4 linked regions of the Caenorhabditis elegans genome follow. The protein of the gene in region 1 purifies or fractionates together with the protein of each later gene. This does not show direct contact. Each region holds a gene or a part of one and is shown on either strand. Other genes may lie near its edges. The genes, in order: T21H3.1, cpn-4, gst-1 and ttr-48.

Evidence for each region.
Region 2: the proteins of T21H3.1 (region 1) and cpn-4 fractionate together in Caenorhabditis elegans (co-fractionation; one large-scale study listed by BioGRID). This does not show direct contact.
Region 3: the proteins of T21H3.1 (region 1) and gst-1 fractionate together in Caenorhabditis elegans (co-fractionation; one large-scale study listed by BioGRID). This does not show direct contact.
Region 4: the proteins of T21H3.1 (region 1) and ttr-48 fractionate together in Caenorhabditis elegans (co-fractionation; one large-scale study listed by BioGRID). This does not show direct contact.

The regions. Positions count from the first base shown.
Region 1 is NC_003283.11:1,174,643-1,179,709, reverse strand, and holds T21H3.1 (Fungal lipase-type domain-containing protein), read right to left. Parts: upstream 2,987-5,067; 5' UTR 2,986-2,986; coding exon 2,614-2,985; intron 2,566-2,613; coding exon 2,440-2,565; intron 1,355-2,439; coding exon 1,007-1,354; intron 957-1,006; coding exon 885-956; 3' UTR 846-884; downstream 1-845. Other genes in the region: F25A2.1 (Fungal lipase-type domain-containing protein), read right to left, coding at 1-81; ptr-16 (SSD domain-containing protein), read right to left, coding at 4,896-4,945, 4,999-5,067.
Region 2 is NC_003279.8:10,923,364-10,928,221, forward strand, and holds cpn-4 (Calponin-homology (CH) domain-containing protein), read right to left. Parts: upstream 2,388-4,858; 5' UTR 2,384-2,387; coding exon 2,270-2,383; intron 1,802-2,269; coding exon 1,719-1,801; intron 1,356-1,718; coding exon 1,229-1,355; intron 1,170-1,228; coding exon 1,092-1,169; intron 1,040-1,091; coding exon 977-1,039; 3' UTR 877-976; downstream 1-876. Other genes in the region: F49D11.2 (F-box associated domain-containing protein), read left to right, coding at 1-121; F49D11.7 (Cysteine-rich transmembrane CYSTM domain-containing protein), read right to left, coding at 218-281, 397-536; F49D11.10 (WD_REPEATS_REGION domain-containing protein), read right to left, coding at 3,726-3,992, 4,708-4,858.
Region 3 is NC_003281.10:9,056,977-9,060,912, reverse strand, and holds gst-1 (Glutathione S-transferase P), read right to left. Parts: upstream 1,583-3,936; 5' UTR 1,557-1,582; coding exon 1,422-1,556; intron 1,368-1,421; coding exon 1,280-1,367; intron 1,232-1,279; coding exon 828-1,231; 3' UTR 732-827; downstream 1-731. Other genes in the region: lin-12 (lin-12/Notch intracellular domain), read left to right, coding at 1-1, 389-511; cls-2 (TOG domain-containing protein), read right to left, coding at 2,287-2,469, 2,521-2,649, 2,692-3,132, 3,358-3,741, 3,786-3,936. UniProt on the Caenorhabditis elegans protein: Conjugation of reduced glutathione to a wide number of exogenous and endogenous hydrophobic electrophiles. Prevents dopaminergic CEP neuron degeneration in response to Mn(2+).
Region 4 is NC_003284.9:3,839,946-3,844,781, forward strand, and holds ttr-48 (Transthyretin-like family protein), read right to left. Parts: upstream 2,504-4,836; 5' UTR 2,503-2,503; coding exon 2,411-2,502; intron 2,366-2,410; coding exon 2,268-2,365; intron 2,224-2,267; coding exon 2,151-2,223; intron 1,320-2,150; coding exon 1,238-1,319; intron 1,189-1,237; coding exon 1,039-1,188; 3' UTR 924-1,038; downstream 1-923. Other genes in the region: Homeobox protein ceh-18, read right to left, coding at 4,274-4,332, 4,382-4,448, 4,493-4,813.

The sequences.
Region 1 (5,067 bases):
ATTCCGAGAGAGCTGATCGGAATATGGTATTGAACTGTGGGAGAATGATTTGCAAATTAAAACGGAGAAAATAAAAAGCATTTTGAATGTCAAATACATTAAATACAATTGTAATTGAAAATTTGCAAACTTAAATAGCTCTGTGAAAAGTGAAAAAAGTTCTGGTTGCAAGTGTGACTTTGTTGTTTGATTTTGGGATTACTGTTGCTCCGAGGCAATTTGTCATTTAACTTTGCTTGGAAATATGACGAACATCACGTCATCTTCAGATTGCTGTCACATTTGTTATCAAGGGAATTACTAGCTATTTATGCTCCGACGCCTGCCTCAAACCTGTACGGAAAAGGGGTGTGCGGCAAATCTCAAAACTTGCCGTGCTCGCCAAATTTTGCAAATCTCTTCTTCCAATATTTGCCGAGCACGGCAAATTCGGCAAATTTGCCGTGCTTAATTAACTCCGAAAATTTGATATTTTTTGATGTTTTTTGGAGCACCGAAACTACTGAATTCTGAATAAAAATCTGGTGTCTGAATAACTTCCGTGTAGTGTGTCTGCTTAAGCATCAAAATAACAACTCAATTTTATGCCATTTTACTAAATTTTTGGGGACAAAATCAATAGTTTTGGCCAAAATTGTATTGTTAAAAAATTTTTGATGTGTGCGGAAAATTTCGAAATTTATCGTGCTCGGCAAATTCGGCAAATCTACTGTTTTGAAATTTGCCGAGCTCGGCGAATTCGGTAAATTCGGCAAATTTGCCGCACATTCCTGGTGCGGACCTCTGCGAACATATGGGAGGCAGGCGCGTAGGCAGGCCCACCACTTCAACTCTGAACCACTGAATCAGTTGTGAACTATTTTATTGTTTAAAACATTGAAAAGTTAGTTCTTGACATTAGCACAATTTGAGTAGCCCAAGTCGCTGACATCAACGTCGAAGTAGTGAAGATGATCCTAAAAAAATAAAAGTATTGGTGAAGTAAAGAACTTTGGACGATTTATACCTTGATAGAAGTGTCTGGAAGAACTTGTCCGTTGGAGCAGAATTCGCTCTCATCGATATCATCGCAAATGTTGTACTTCGTCATTTTCTCCTTGTAGAACACCTCGGCCTTGTGGTGGGTGAATCCTTGCATGTTCTCCTTTGGAAGATGTGGCACCGGGTCGTGGGCGTGGGTGACGCGGAACTTGTTCGTGACGTCACGATCGACGGCGGCCGCGTAGGCCTTGTCTCCGACACGTGGCTGTCCGTAGGTGACGAGTTGAAGCTTCGAGGCGTCGAAGAGCTTGTTGTAGGTGATGTAGGAGGCGGCAAGGGAGGCCATCGCTCCTCCGAGGGAGTGTCCGGTGACCTGAAGTTTTGTAAGTACACGACTTTCCCACGCGTTGTCCGGCGGGCGGTTGTCAATGGAGCGCGAAAAATTCAATGAGGAAGGCCAGAATCCCATGATTTTGAGCCTTGGGAGACGAAAATAAATTTGCAACGGACAATGTTCGAGACCGCGTTTTCTTATGTGGACCACCTTGGGTGCTACACTAAACAGTATTCCGGGAAATGATAGGACTACTTTCAAGAAACCATTGTCACCACGGGATCATCACATGGATCCACAAGGATCTTTTATCCACTGGTTGGGTCCTGCTCATGCGCCAACAAGAATGACACGTGGAGTCAGAAAGTCCCATTTTGCTTTGATCTTCAAAAAATGCGGGAGAGGAGACGCAAACATCTCATCGGATTCCGCATGTTCAAGAGCGTGCTGATGTCACAATTTTTCTGGGAAAAATTCCCGCATTTTTTGTAGATCAAAGCGCAATGAGACAGCCTGACACCACGTGGAATGGGTTTTAAGTTTCTATAACATTTTTGTGGTTCGAGGTTGACCACTGACATTCCCGCGTTTCTGATCTGGACTTCTTATTTTATTTTAAAAAAAAATTTAACGAAGCATTATTGTTACACCTATCAGGCATCAAGGCTTGCGCGACGTACTGTGTAGCTGCACTGCAGCCCACGTGGTGTCAGAGTGTCTCATATCGGCTTGTTCTACGTAGATCTACAGAAAATGCGGGAGAAGAGACGCAGAGTTCTCAACTGATTTCGAATGGTTAAGAACGTGTCGATGTCACATTTTTCTGGGCGAAAATTTCCCGCATTTTTTGTAGATCAAACCCTAATGAGACAGCCTGGGACCACGTGCAGCCGACTTCGATCGAGATCTCAACCAACCCAGCTCATGTCGTCTGCGTCTTCCTGGGGGGTATACTCACTTATATCACAAGTGTAGGAATACACTGTAGAAATGCAACAACCACTTGCTTCATGAACTCGCAAAGTATATTTTGCTAGACTACGATAGCTGTCAACAACACGGGAGCACAGTCTACTTTAACCCCATCAATAATCATTTTCTTATCAGTTTTTACGAATTCTTACCCAAACTTGGAATCCTGGGTTTTGGGCGGCAAGAGTGTTAAAATCGTCCTTGAGTCCGGCGTTCCAGATGTTCAAAAATCCGTCGTTGAAGTACTGGGAGACGACACCTCCAGCAGCCCATGGAGTCTGAAACATGCTTCATTTATTCCGGAGTACTCGAAATTTTAATCTTACGTGATACTCGAAGACAGTCTCCAATCCTTCCAAAATAAGCTGCACATTGTTGTTAGTTCCACGGAACACCACAATAATCGCCTTGTCCTGTGGACTGACGGCGGTGTATCCGACGCATTTGTCGGCTGGGTTGACGTCACAGCGAGCCGTAATGATTCTCCTGATTGAGGCACCGGTGAACGCTTTGTCGAGGCACTGTTGTGGATTCGATCCGTAGGCGGCGCCGGCTGCGAAGAGAATCTTCTTGCGAGCAGTGGCGTCGTTGTATGGGATGGTATAGACGTCGAGGTTCTCTGGATTTTTTGGGGCTTCTGGTAGCACAAAGGCCGAAGCCAGTGGCAGAAGGACTGCAGCAAGCAGTAAGGCTTGCATACTGAAAGAATAATTTAAAGTTAACAAATGAGATGGAAGTTGGAAAATCGTTTTAAAACGTGACACATCTTATTCAGAAACACGTGACGTCACCGAAGTGAAGCCTGTGTGACGTCACTTCGAAACTTAATTTGCCGCAAATTTCGAATTAACATTTAAAACATGATTACTGGGAGAAAAGGTGGGAAAATGACGATACTCTGCTATTCGATTTCTCTTTATTAACTTTCCGTTTTCTTATCACCAATTCCGTTTCAAATATCACACAACCTATAAAAAAGTCGTTGATATGAATGATACCGCTTAACTTGTGCTCTTTTATCAAATTTTCAATCGAACCGGATTACGCAAGTAGTTTAAATGGTCGTTTGATTCCTCGAACCACAAACTAACACTGTAGGAGATGAACAAAGTTCTTGATACTTGAATGTTCAGTGGTGTTAAAAAAAATTCTACACGGGGTTCTGGCCTTCCTCGTTGAATTTTTTGCGCTCCATTGACAATCGCCAACGCGTGGGAATTCCTGTACTCCACACGGACAAATGCATTTAGTTTCACAACTAAAATCGAGCCGCGACACGCAACGCGCCGTAAATCTACCCAAGATATGGCCGAGCCAAAATGGCCTAGTTCGGCAATTTCTTCCATTTCAATTTATGAGGGAAGCCGAAAATCCGTGAATTCTACCTGAAAAATCAAATAATCAAATTTCCGAATGAAATGTTTTTGAAAGGCTGATATTTGATTTGATCAGCAAACTTTAAGAAAATTAAATTTCCAAAAAATGTTGTCAAGCCAACTTTATCCCCGCTTACCTTAAAATTGGAGTTGCACAGGTGGGTTTTTTTTAAATTCTAAATGATAGAATACAGTCTCAATATAACAAATATAACTGTCAAAAAATGTATAAAAATTTTTTAAATTTTTAATGATTTTTTTAAAATTCGAACAGGAAATATAATTTTTTTTTTGAATTCCCGCGCAAGTGAATGACGTCATTTTTTGACACTTTTTGGGAATATTGACTGCTTTTTCTTTACTTTTTCTTTGTTTCATAATTTGACGCATAATTTGTCAAAATTTTCAGACATTTTTCCCAAAAAAACACGTTTTTTTAATGCTAAATTATTGATTTTAGGCCAATTTTGGAGTTTCAGCAAATTTTTTTCATTTGCTGCGCCGAAAAATGTCTGAAAAACATTGTAAAAAATATTGAAAAATTTTTGAAAAATATTGAAAAAATCAAATTTATTGCCCAAAAATGCAAAAATGCCAAAAATGACGTCATTCATTTGTGCGGGAATTCAAAAATAATTCAGCTCTTTTTTTCAAAATTTATAAAATCATGAAAAAATTAGAAATTTTTTGTAAATTTTTTTCATAGTTTTAATTGATATATTAAGACTGTTTTTCGACCATTTAGGGCAAAATTAGCGCAAACGCTACCCATGGCGTCAGGCTGTCCCATCAGGGTTTGATCTACAAAAATGCGGGATTTTTTGCCCAGGAAAATGTGACGTCAGCATACTCTCAACCATGCGAAATCAGTTGAAAAATCTCCGTCTCTTCTCCCGCATTTTTCGTAGATCAAACTAAAATGGGACACTTTGACACCACGTGACGCTAGTCAACCTTTAAAGACAAATCTTCAACAAATTTTATTTTCATCAGTAAGTCACCTGAAGATTGATTTTTTGTGAGTTTTTATTCAGAAAATTTTTAGTTTTTTCTGCAATGACAACTGATTTGCAAATTCTTTTTAACTAATTTATCACAAAAGAAAACTGGGAATGAGACAGACGTCAATGAAGTCGAGCACCCGTAGTTGAGACTTGATAGGAAAACAATGTGGAGAAAAAAAACAACACTAATAAATTACAATTTTGGATCACAATTTTTTTTGGCACATATTAACCGGATCCCCGTTCCTGTGGTAAGGTTCTCAGTTCTGTTGAGTTGCCTGTAAAAATTGTAATTTTTAAATCGAATTCATGTATTACTTTTGACTCTTACTTTTGACTAGAGCTGTCTCACTGTTTCCACTTGAAAAACTGGAAGCCTGTGAAATTTCTCCGAGTTTTT
Region 2 (4,858 bases), on another chromosome or scaffold:
TATCGAACGGGAAGATGGAATGTTGGCTACAATTATCACAGATTCTACATTTTTCTACTTTTTCGTTTGGCACAATCGATTCCCGGAGCAGCCGGATCATGTCCCATATTTGGATAGATAAATTGAATTACAAACATTCCAGGCCATTGATTTTCTGTGATTTATCCATTTTTGAAGATTTGAAGATTTTAAGTTAATTCTACAATAAATGCACATATCAAGAATTCATTGCACAACAACAGAATAGTGCCATACAGCAGGCTCCGGCACAACAGGCTTCTCTGAAATAACAAAAAATTTTAAAATTTTAAAGTATATGTATGTGCAATCGCGCTCTAATAATAAAAGTGGTGGAAGGTTTTATTAAGAAAAGCTTGAAAACAATAAAATACTCACTCCGCACGTGTATCATGTACATAAACTGGTTGAGCAATTGGTTGAACATAAGTAGGCCCATAGGCTGGACCATAGGCCGGACCATAACATGGGTCTCCATATGGTGAACCATAATATGGAGCATATCCTGGTCCATACATTTTCACAATAGAGTTCGAGCAAGTTTATATAATTAGAAATAAAATTTTGGAGAGAGTGCAAGAGCTTGAACTTTTCATTTCACGTTTAAAATTGAAAAGAAAATAAAATTTATTATCCTATGACAACAATTCAACTTTTGAAGTTACGCAGTCTATAAGGAGACTCGTAAAAGTACATAGAGCCCCGTAAATCCACATCGAGCGCCGTAAATCTACATGGATCCTCGTAAATCTACATGAACCCCCGTGAATCTACATAGAGCCCCGTAAATCTACATTGAGCACCGTAAATCAGCAGGAAAATCCTTGGCGGCATTGCAGAACTTTTCAGAAAAAATTTGGAAGAAAAATCTTTATAAAAAGTGAATTGGGAACAGAAAGTGAATAAAAGTAAATTTCGAAAAAAGATTGAAGCCGATATGAAATGGAAAAAATTTAAATTATTGATTGACGATTTGGTCCTTGGAAACTTGCTTTGGTGGCGTGATTCCGAGCTTTTCGACCTGAAATTTGGAGTTTTTCAAATCAATTTGCAAATGAAAACCAAATTATTACCTTTCTAGCCAAGCTCTGAAGGGTTACTGTAACGGAGAAAAGGTCACGGCCATCGAACAAGTCGACAGATTGGAATGTCTGAAAAAATGAAGATTTGAATTTTGAACATCGCGCCAAAAGTATATGGTAGATTAAACCTCTTCATCCTTGACTCCGAGACTTCTGGCGGCAGTGGAAAATTGATTAATGTTCTCGAGACAGTTGAAATTGGAAATTGGCTTCATGATCTTCTTCACACTTCCTGCTTTGATGGCGTTGACGAGTCTGGAATAGGGTTACTGTAAATAGCTCATTCGTAAAGCTAGGTGCTCCGTAAATCTACATAGTTTTGTAAGCCGTAAACCTACATGAACTTTCGTAAATCTACATGAACTTTTCGTAAACTTTTCGTAAAAACACAAAGTCTGGTAAAGACAGTTTTTTTTAGAGACTTTATTGTTCTAGGTTCTAGGAAAATAGGATCCAAAGTGTTCAAACAAACATAATCACAAAACAGAAAATAAAATCTCAAAATCACATCACCTTAAGCTCACAGAGCATCTCACATTTCCCAAACAGTTCGTGATTATTATTGACATTTTGCATCCCCCAACTCTACGTACAAATAGACAAAAAAAAGACACTCACTTGCACAATCGTTGCCCGTCTTTGAGCTGCTCGCGAAAATTGTCCCGAGATGCTTCACAGTCGAAATCCTCTTTTGTCAAGTCCTGAAAAGAATTTGAAATTATATTGGTGTTTTTCAGGGGGATGAGTAAATCTTGAAGAAACTCTGTAAATCTACAAAAGGCTCCGTAAATCTACAATAAATTGTGAATACTACAAAAGCTCCGTAAAGCTACATGAATCATCGTAAATCTACGCATATATCTGTAAATCTGAAGCGGCAATTCTACACTTAACTTTATAGGCTTACATGGAGTTTTGTAAATCTACCTGATATCTATGTACAATGTTATCACGTATATCTACCTGAACTTGCATAAATCTACACAGAGTCTTGTGAATCTACATTTCACTGACCGTAAGTATACACTTAACTTTACAAATCTATGTGGAGCTTCGTAAATCTACATGTATATATGTAGACATTAAACTTTTGTAATTCCATATAAAGTAAAACTACATCACTCTCTAGTAAATCCACACTGAACTCCGTAAATCTACCCAAATCTTACCCGAATCCATTCCAACAAGTATCCAGCTTCAACATCATTGAACTTGCTTGCCTGTTTGTCCAAAATGGCTCCGGCCATACCGGCTGGTCTTGGTCGATGATAACTTTGTGACATTTTTGCTAGAAAGTCTCAAATTTTAGGCAAAAATTTTCAACAAAAAGTAGAGTATAAAAGTATAAATCAGTAAGAAAAATCAAATTTCGAAGATTTTCGAAACTTAAAACAAAGGAGGTGGCAAAACTGGTTGTGCCTGTCTTGTTGCTCGTCGAGCTCTGACTCTAGGATCTTGCTCACCGAGCTCCTATTTATATTCTTGACTAAACTGTCTGCGTCTCGTCGAATCTGTACACTATTTCCAAAAGGTTAGTGTTGATTTTTGCGCGTGTGGGTGGACGCTAGAGCCGACTCATCCGCGGGAGGTGAGCCCCCGAATTTCAATGGGCGGAGTCAGAGCCCCAAGGAGGGGATGAATTTCGAAACAACAAGAGAGTGAGAGCTCGAGCACAGAACATTCCAGAACGTTTTTTCGTTTTTTTTTTTTGGAAGGGAACGGTTGAAAGTGATTGACACTTGAGAGAGAGATGGGGGATACACAAAAACCTGTATTATTGACCTATTGACTCTTTGCAACTTTTGAGCAACTCAACTGTGTCTGTGTTGAAAGTGAAGTGATAAATTTGAAAAATAAAAGTAAATGTTAGTATTTGCCATCATTCTCTAGATATTAAATCTTTAATTGCTGATAAAGCCCGATTGAAAGTAGGCCTAGAGTTGGACTTGCCAGTAGGCTTAGATTTAAGATTAGGCTCAGGCTTGAGCTTAGGCTTAAGCTTGGGCTTGTCTGGTTTAGGCTGATATTCAAAATTAGGTTTAAGCAAGGGCTTAGGCTTAGGCTCAGGCAAAGGCCCGATCCTAATTTCCACCTCTACTTCTACTGGTTTCTTTGGAGTTTCTGTAGACTTCACAAGAAATTTTATGGCCTGCCTAAGCCTAAGACCAAGCTCAGGCCTAAGTCCAGGCCTAAACCTAAGCCTAAACCTACGCCTAAGCCTACACCTAAACCTAATTTTAGGCCTAAGACTAAACATGAGAAAAAGCCTAAGCCTACGCCTATGCCGATTACGGTAGTTGACAGTCTGTGCATTTTCGCGAAACGTGTGTACTTCTCTCGGACAAGTTTAATATTTCATTGAAATTTTTTCTGTTTTTTTAAGGTACGTTTTGAAAGAAAATCATGCAAAATAAATAAAAATTTAAAAAAAACGAATTCATGAACAAATAAAATCAACAACGATAACAAATGTGTGTGTGTGATAACAAAAGGATTGTAGCATATGTGGAAGGGAAAAAAATTGAAAAAAAGAAAGGCAACAATAAAAAATGATTGAAACTTGTGAAAAAAAAAAACCAAAAACAAAAAGAGAGAGCGATGAATCAGAAAGTGTTCTAGATGCTTCTAGACACCACGTACAGGCGGTGGAAGCAACGATTTTTCGATAAAAAGTGGAGCGATGAACGAGATTGGAGGGAGCTGATGAACTGGTCCGGAGAATAAGCGGGCCGCTTCAGGCCTGGGTTGACGGACGAAAGCTTGATCCGATGTGACTGTGGATGGGCCAGCTGTTGATTTTGAGCCAAGTTGTTGGAATGGAGTCTGTGGAACTGCGATCTCTCCTGATCTTCCACTATTCTTGATGTGTGCAGGACGGTGACATATGATTCCCTGGAAAAGGTTAATTATTAGCCTGAATATCGAAAAGAAAAATGTAAAAATGTATAATGCGTTCGGGGGGAATCGAACCCCCGTCGAATGCTTGGAAGGCATCCATGCTGACCATTACACCACGAACGCGACGAAATACTTGCCTCCAGGAAGCCATTATAAAACTGACAGTTGTCGGGGGTCTCTCTTCCGCAACATCAAGCCCATTAAGACCCCGGTTACCCGCCGCGTTCGTGGTGTAATGGTCAGCATGGATGCCTTCCAAGCATTCGACGGGGGTTCGATTCCCCCCGAACGCAGATTTTTTTGGTTTAAAATACGCCAAAATTGTTTGAAAAAACAGTGGACTTTGGCAAATTTGAATTACCGCGTTTTTGTGTCTTAACTCCGCCCATTTTTCTGTGCCGCACTTTGACTTTATTGCAAATTCTTCGTATTTCTCCATTTTTCTTCGAATTTTCAAGCGGAGACACAGTTTTAAATGCTTAAAGTGCACAAAACTACCAAAATTCGAAGAAAAAAATTGAAGAATGAATAATTCGTGTTGAAAACACAAAGTGCGGCACGGAAAAATGGGCGGAGTTTCGAGGAAATTCAGATTTCTCAAAATCAATCGATTTTTTTTTCAAATTTAATGATTTTTTCTCGTTTTTTTCCTGTAGAATCTCGGAATTTCTGCGTATTCAAAGTAAATTTTTTTTAATTTGCTCCTCACCTTCGCCGTCTTGGCAACATAAACCAAAGCGTGTGCTCTTTGCTGAATAACGACAAGTTCATCAATATTTGTAGAGAATTGAATAGTTTCCAAAACTCTTCCAGTTTCCGCATCAAAACGCATAACTTGGGCTCCTTCAAATGCAAAACAT
Region 3 (3,936 bases), on another chromosome or scaffold:
GGTTAGTTTTAAGCTTCAACTGAACAGACGGGAAACAATGTAATTTTGCAATTAAAAATACGGTACCCGGTCTCGACACGACAAAGTTTTGTTAAATAGAACGTGCGCCTTTTAAGAATACTGTAGTTCGAATCTTGTGTTTTTGCGGATTTTTAAGTCTTTCCAATCTAAATAAGTGTTATGGTTTAAAAGTCTGGACAACAATAAAATCACATAAATGTAACAAGGAAATTCCGCAGCAACAAATGTTTGAAATTACAGTAATCTTTAAAGGCGCACACCTTTTCGCATTCAATAGAAATTTGTCGTGCCAAGACCGTTTTACGCGTATGTGTAATATACAAAGTTCAAATATAACGTACATAAATTAAAATAACGTTACTTTCAGTTCCAACCACAATGTGGAGCATTTGGAAATGGCGAAATGTGGTATACAAGAGCTTCAACATCGTACACCCAAATGCAGAATGAACCAATGACGCGATACTCCGAACCAGCTCATTATTTTTGAATCTTCTGAACAATCGTCATTTATTATTTAAATTCCTTATTTTCTAGAGCTATACGGGTTTCCATCTAAATTTTGCATAAGACTTGATGTTCTTTTTTTTGTTGCATTTCTTGATTGTATATGGGCTTACGGGTTGAAATGTTTTGTTGAATGTTACATTAATAAAAATTAGTGAATAATTTTCCGAGTATTGGCTCCACGAACGACTGAAACGATGTATGGGAAGCAGAGATTCATTGGAAGCTTTAAGGAAGACAATAAATTATATCAAACTGGAATTTTTGATGATTGCAAAATGAGAAAAAATTGAATTAGCTTATTGTTTTCCATTTCCATTTACTGGTGGGTTGATAGCAGCTCTCTTGTTGAGATATGCCTTGATGTTTGGACGCTCAGCGAATCTCTCGTGGAACTTCTTGAGTGCTGGAACACCATCAAGAGCATTTGGTGTGAGAATCAAATGAATGTCGAGCTCCTCGAACAGCACATAATCCGCATAGCTTTCCTTGTCTCCAATAACGTAGTGCTCTCCGTTCTTGTAGGTATGGAAAAGCTTCTCCAGACGAGCGAGCTCTCCTGGAAGAACGTCCTTGATGTACGGAGCCTTGCCGTCTTCGTAGTTTCTGTAGATCATAGTGGTGTACTTGGTGTGCAAATCACGAAGTCCTTCGTAGAACATGTCGATGAAAGTTGTCTCTGTCTCGTTGGAGCCATTGAGCCCTGAAAATTGTTTTATAAGATACCGGAAGAAAACATTTAAATGGTTACCATTAAGACGAGCGAGATGACGGATGATAGCTCCAGATTGAACAATCTCCTCGTCTCCGGATAGAAGACATGGAACCTGGCCGAAGATCTGAAAAATAATCATTTAATAAAAATAAATAAAACTTTGAAAACAATAACTCACCATCTTTGGTTTAATATCAGCCCATTGTTCATAGGTTACACGATGATCCTCGTAGGCAACTTGCTTGTCCGCGAGAAGAAGACGGATTGGCTCAGCGAGTCCGTGGATGTCGAAGTACGTGAGCTTGAGGGTCATATTGAACGAAGTTGAGTGAATACTGACTGAAAACAAACACTTGAAATGTGGAAACTGGTTTTTTTTGTTTTCAAGAGAGAATTAAGAAAAGAAATCGAATGTGAGAAGTGGACAAATAGAACGGCTTTTATAGTTCGTGGAGGTACTAGGGGTGCTAGACGAAACAAGCAAGAGAGAGCACTGGAATGAAAGAGAAAGACAACGTGGCCAGCACGAAAATGATGACAAAAAGTTGTTAAGATGATTACAATTGTTCTGGATGACGTTGAAATGCCAGAGAAGTTTCTAGAAAATTAACAATAGTTTAGTCTTGGCGCCGGTAGCAGATCAGAAAAAACACTGAAACGAGATTACTGTCAACAAAACGTGATGGCTAATTGAATACCGAAAGTTTTTTACCTATTGTTCCAGATATATATTGGCCTGAACGAAAAAACGGTTTTCAACTTATACACAAGAAATAAATTTAAGAAATATTCATATAAAAAATAAATAAGAAAAGAAAATATATAAAAATAAAAATAAGAAATACGGGGGTCGAAAATCATAAGGGACATAAGTCGGGGGAAATTATGCTAAAAGGAGCATAGAGAAAGTGTGCAATACCCGCTCTTGACAAATAAAATTATATTACAAAGTGAAGGGATGAGAGAAAAGGGACGATAAGGTTTTACGGGGGAAATTTGGGATACGAATACGGGGGAATTATGGGCTACATTGCAACGACGAATCATACGTGCGAATGTGAACTGGACGACATTGCCCGATTGACGTAGACTTGGACAAGGTTCAGCTTTCCAGACGACAGATTTTGAAGATGTGGCTCCATTGTCTTCATTCCCAACTTGTTCACCATCGCGACCAGACAGTAGACAGCAGTTTTCCGAACTGCAGACGATGGGGAATCGTAAGACTGCAAAGTAAAAATTTCATTAATGAATTGCGATGTTTGATAAATAGTTACCTTGATCACACATGGCGCCAAATCATCAACCACTGGGCTCAATTCGTCGGCTTGGAGACCTTCAAACAATCTGGTCATCATTTTCAGAACCAAGCTTGCTTTGGGTTCTTGAGCTTTCTCCTGCAAATACTGACAAACAGATTACCTAAATGTAAAAATTCTTGAACTTACCTCATTCAAAATGAGCTGCGAGATGTTAACCACCTTAGCCAGTGGAAGGTGGGTTGCCAGCGTTTTCAAGCAGTCATCAGCGGTCACGTTCATCGTTCCGTCTTGTGAGTTGACAGCAGCATCCAAAACTTTACAGATGGCCATTTCCGTAGAGTCGAACAAGCGCGATGCTTGCGAAGTGCACATCTTTGTCAAAACGCGCAGAGCTACTTTCTTGTTGGCGTCTGATTCGCTTTTGGAGAGCACATCGAAGACAGCGATCAACAGCTTGGCGAAGTTTTGCTCCCAAAGAGTGAATGAGCCTTCACACAACATTGTCTGGATCGACAAAAGTCCTTCGTATTGCTGAGCTCCCATGTCACCAGAGATCTGGGCCAGCTTCGACGCCACGTACTTGCTCTGCTCCGACGTATCGTCAATAAGATGCGTTGTTGAGTTGAGCTGAAAAATAATTTGAAGAAAGAATAGGAGGATGAAACTGACGGTCATTATTGAGCCAAAATGTAGAAATGATTTTTAACGTCTACGAAAAATATACTTTGCTGAACTACGCGCCTTACGTGGCCACTGAAACGAAGAAAGAGGGGGGGGGGGGGGGGGGTTCGAAATCCTCTGACCACTTGTCATTTAAAACCATTTTCTTTTAAATATAATGCTGTTAAATACCTTTAATCGGTCGAATGACTCATTGAAGCTGAGTTCCTCGTCTCTGTGCTGTGAATTCATTTCCGAAGACAGAGGACGAAGTGGTTCCGCATCGACTCGTTTGAAACCCGACGAAATGGCTCTTGTGCTAGGCGATTTTACTGGAGTCATATCAAGATTCCTCGACACGACGAAATCTTCTATCTGCGCAGCTGTAGTAGAAATCGTGGCTCGCACACAGGCCTCTTCAGAAACAGCATCTTGTTGTGGAACGTGTTGATCATGTCCGTGAGACTGAAGAACTTTGTATGCCCAATCGCGATAGTCGGGGTTGAAGTCGTTGAAAAGTGCAGAGAAGTCGGCGTTGTTCAATGCGAAGAGTGAGCAGAGTACTTTCTCGCCATGCTGAAAAATGCATATTGCTAAAATAAAGAGAGAGCTATAATTACCGGGGTGATCAACTGTTCATTCCTCTGATCTGCCATCCACGAAAACATCTTGAGAATGGTGGCCTTCATCTCTTTAGTGTTGAACGACGATCCTCGCTCCATATACTTCCCAAGAAGTTCATTGAGATATTCAAGAAGGACCACGCGACTC
Region 4 (4,836 bases), on another chromosome or scaffold:
TTTTTGGCGAACTTCCGAAATTATTATAAGTAAGAACTGAGTTTTCCCTCATTTTTTACTTCATATAAAAATTCCAATTTTTTATTGAAATATTAAAAAATATATGCGTGGCTCAAAAGAGAGCATTTTAAAAGTATAATTGGTTTTTTAAAGCAAAGCCAGCAAGTTGCCACAGCTTCGCAAAGTACAAAAAATTCGATTTATCTTTTGAGAAGCGTTCAGAGTGGGAAATTTAAAGAAATTAGAACATTTTGCTTCACAATCTTGTGAAGGAGTTGTAAATTGGCGTTTTTTCTAGATATGTCAGTTAGTTTTCAATATCCTTATAAACCTCGCAGCATAGGGACACACTTCGACTAGCAAAAAATTGATCATTGAGCTCGCGTGTGCTTTCTAAGCCACTATGCGTGCATCACAAACTAACTGTATTGCATAAATTTTTCAGTGTACAAAAAATAATAATTTTTTGGACAGTATGAAAGTTTCAGTTATTTATCTAAAAAAATGGCTCAACCCCATTTTGAAAATTCATTATGTATCATAAAAATTCCATACAGAGAAAATTCGGCAAAACATTGAAACTTACTGGAAATTGTTGTCGAAAACGGCGGAACACAGAACACAACAATACTGAAAAGTTTTACTGTCCATATTGTCAGTTTTCAAAAACCGCCCTCTTTCGGTTCGTGCAATAACAGCTCTCATAAAATGAACAGTTTCAAGGCTTGTCCTCCGGTGAACAAAGATCAAATGAGAAAAGTTTCGTGAGATTCTTCTCTTTCTCACCTGGGTGGTTTTATTTTTCTCAACACCACGTCCTTTTCCTCCATATTTTCTGATCTGATATGCGTGATGTATCCGTTTTCCAAAACAGAACAACAGCCAGTGCCAAACAACAAAAACAAAATGAGTGCGAGCGCTTTGAAATGAGAAGAGAAATTTTACTGATTGCATTCATGGGGAACAACTTCTAAATAAAATTCAAAATATTTGATGTGAAATATAATGAAGAAAAAAATTGTGAAAGAAAAGTTAAATTTAATCGGTGAATTTGAACTTCAAATCATGGGTCTCTTGTGGAAACTCCAACTCCAAATTGAGAATTCCAAAGTCATACACCTTTCTTGCTTTGATTCCGAGTGTTACGTAATCTTCTGGAAGACGGACACCAATTCGTTTGTAGCCGTACTATAAAAATAATTGATTTTTGTTTCGTAAGTGCTGGTCTTTGACTTACATTGGATGTTTGCTTATTGTCCATTCCGCAGTTGTGATGAATTGTGACATATGGCTGGATATCGGTTTTGGTACGTGGGAATCTGAAAGTTAAACTTATAAAAACAAAATTTTAATCTTAATTCCAGGTTTTAAAACAAGGCAATTGCTATCAGCTATTTCTGAAATGTTGCAGTTGAACTTAGCACTATTTTCGAGGTCCCGAAAATTGCTGAAAATCTTTGGTTTCCTTAAATCTCTCCAATTTTGATGAGAATCACAATTTCTATATTTTGTGTAGAGATTTGAAGTATCGAGGAGCTTCCCGAATGTTTTTCTAAACCCAAAAACCTCTTAACTTTTGATAAGATTCTAAGGACCCCAAAAAATGAGTAAGAATATATTCATTCAGTGAAATAAAAGTTTGTAATTGTTAGAATTGTTCGTCTGAATTGCTTTTTCTATATAAGATACTAAAACCAGTCGATGTAATGGTGAAAAATAGCGAGTGTGAAAACGATTAAACATTATTGTTCTGGAGCTAAAAAATGTTTTTTAATAACTTCGGAAAATTATTTATTTCGAGTCAAAAAGTTGTAAAACCTCAGTTTACGCTTATTTAGAAAAAATATTCCAAAACTTTTGAAAAACTTCATTTAGATATTCGGTCAGTTTTTGGTCATATGAATGCGTTTCCATTATTTTTCATTGACCGTGCTCCACCTTTCAGAACTTGTATTTTCAAACTGTTCTCCAATTTATGCCACTACAACAATGTGTAAAACTTCCTTCTCATAATGTTTTCAGCACAAGATAATTCTGACATACTTCACTTCATTTCGAATGCACGCACTATTGGCACTATTGATAAGCAAGACATGAATAGAAAACTTTTGACTTTTTAAATAACCTTTTCTCAGCAAAAAATAACAAACCTCGCGGTACCTCCTTCAACTTGGAACATTCCCGTAATGTATGTGTTCTTTACGTCGAGTAGCTCGGCGAGATCTGACATGATTATGGTCTTGCTCAAAACTTGATACCTTACTTACCATCTGCTGCATTTGGTTGAAATGTTCTGAAAAGTCGGATCTTGGCTCCTTCGAAAGGCTTCTTTCCACAATACAGTTGTCCTTTGACTGCCATGGTTCTAAAAATATAAATTGATTTTTACAAAATTGAAAATTAAATTTACCTGTTGGCAATGTTAGTTGGGACATCAAGATCCGCTCCAGCAGAAACGTATGAAATTGGTAAAAGAAGAGCGGCGATAAATATGAAAATCATGCTGAAATGTGATAATTAAACGTATTTCTCAGCGATTCATGAATCAATAGAAAGGATATTGAAGAAGATACCGGAAAACAAAATGCTCAGTGAACACCTGACCTCTCAATAGAGATGCACGTAGACACCAATTGATATTGATCAAAATGTTCGACGCTTCCCAAAACACTTGGGAAGAATCAAAATGAAACGGTCGCAGTGTACAGTTTCATTATCAAGTTTCTAAACCGTTTTGATAGACCAAACACTGGTCAACACTATTCTAGCTTATCACTCTTATCGCGAAGCTATTGACAATAAGGACACTTTGGCTCTTCATTCAAAAGAAAAATAAACAATTTATATTGATTATATGATCAGTTGATGATTATTCAACATATGGTTCAACACAAATAAGAACAAATACATCTATTGACGTGATTTGGAGTTTTAAAGGTGGTGTAGTCGAATTTCTTTTATTTGTTTATTATATTTAAAATTGTCTGAAAACACCGAATTTCATAATGAAACTTCTTGAAAACTATTAAAAATAGTTATTACAGCTCAAAAAATAGCCTAAAATTAGAATAATTTGAAATTTGACCGACTTGTCAATGTCGCAGAGTTATACCCAAAATGTTGTAACCAAAATTGGACGACAAAAATTAGTTTCTAGACGCTGCGACATTTTTAAAAAACCATGGTGCCAGCTATGATGCAAAAATGACCAAATGTCATAGCCAACCTATTCAAACAATTTTTTGATAGGCGACTTCCAAAAAAAAAACAACATTTATACAACATACAACACTTTTAATTATTTTTAAAACAAATTTTTACAAAACCATACCACACCTAACTTGTGGTGACTCCACTTAAATTTTGATGAAAATTCACAAAAAATACCTGTATCTGAAATTAAATTTTTCTGGAAAATGTTGAAAGTGTTCAATATTTATCAAAAAATTATGCGAAAAAATAAAACTGTTCTCGAAAAGTTACATACAAAAATTGACCCTATCAGAAGAAAAGCTCCGGGTTTTAAAAATCGAAACCAGCAGTTCCAATTGAATATATCGTAACTATGCACCAGGAAGAATGGGGAGGTGAATATTCAAACGGAGTGTGTCGGTGGGTTTCAAGCAATTATCGGGAAAGAATGAGATGAACAACCTAGAAATCTCACCGGAACGTACAATTATCATAGATACACAAAAAGGCAAAAACACTCTGAGAAAAACATGAACTTTCAGCGTACAAAAAGAATGGTGTGTATTCGTTTTGATGACTAGTCAAAACGAGAGAAGCTGTGAAATTAGGTGAGGGTGAATGGCAGAAAAGACCATGAAAATCGAGTTACTAACCGCATCTGAGAAGCTGCTCAATTGTGTGGAGCACATCAAAAAAAAATAATTTTATTAGGCTAGAAAGTTCTACGGGATCCGAGAAATCAAACGTGCGAATCAGAAAGAAAAAAGAAACAGCGGGACAAAAAACCTGAGCATATGGTATTTGAAAAGCGAATAAAAGAGTTGTAAATGCAACATACTGCTATCAGACGAGAAACCGGGCAATAGAACAGTCAACCGGAATGGGGGGAAAATGAGAAATTATGTGTGCAATCGAAAATGTTATGCTTGAATTTTGAAGAAAGAATGCAGAGATTTGAAAAAAAAACTGCTTGAACTGCTTTGAACGCTCTTGATTACCGTAATGACGCAAAATGTTGAGGTAATGAATAAGGAAAATGTGGACAGAGAGTGAACTTGAGAGTGAACAAGTGAACTGGAGTTTATAGATCCGAGCAGCCGTCATTGGATGGTGCATCTGGGCTTCCGGATGTTCCGTCACCTGTAGACAATTAATTTTATATGTGAGCTTGATGAAATTTTCAACTCACTGTCATCATTGCTGGCTTGACAAGAAGCTAACCTAGCGGCTTCTTGAATTTGCTCCAGCGCACTCATCTGAAATACATAATGAGTAAAATAGTAAAATTCAATTGACTTACAGATGAAAAATGCGGGAAGACAGGACTAACAGACGGTGTTACCATTTCTCCCTCAATTGGCTCATCGACTCTTCTCATCTTTTGACGACGATTACAGAACCATACCCTTACAACATCCCGGTCGAGCTCTAGAGAGTTTGCAATATCTGTCATCTTATCATGGTCGGGACGTGGGTTCAGCGCAAAAAAAGTGTCCAGAGCATTTCGCTGATTCATATCCAAATTCGTCCTCTTTCTCCTTCGTTTTACATGCTGCTCTCTGCTAAGAAGACTGCTAGCAGTAACAGAAGAGATTGAATTTGAGATTGATGTTTCGTGAATCTGAAATATAACGTTTTTTTTCT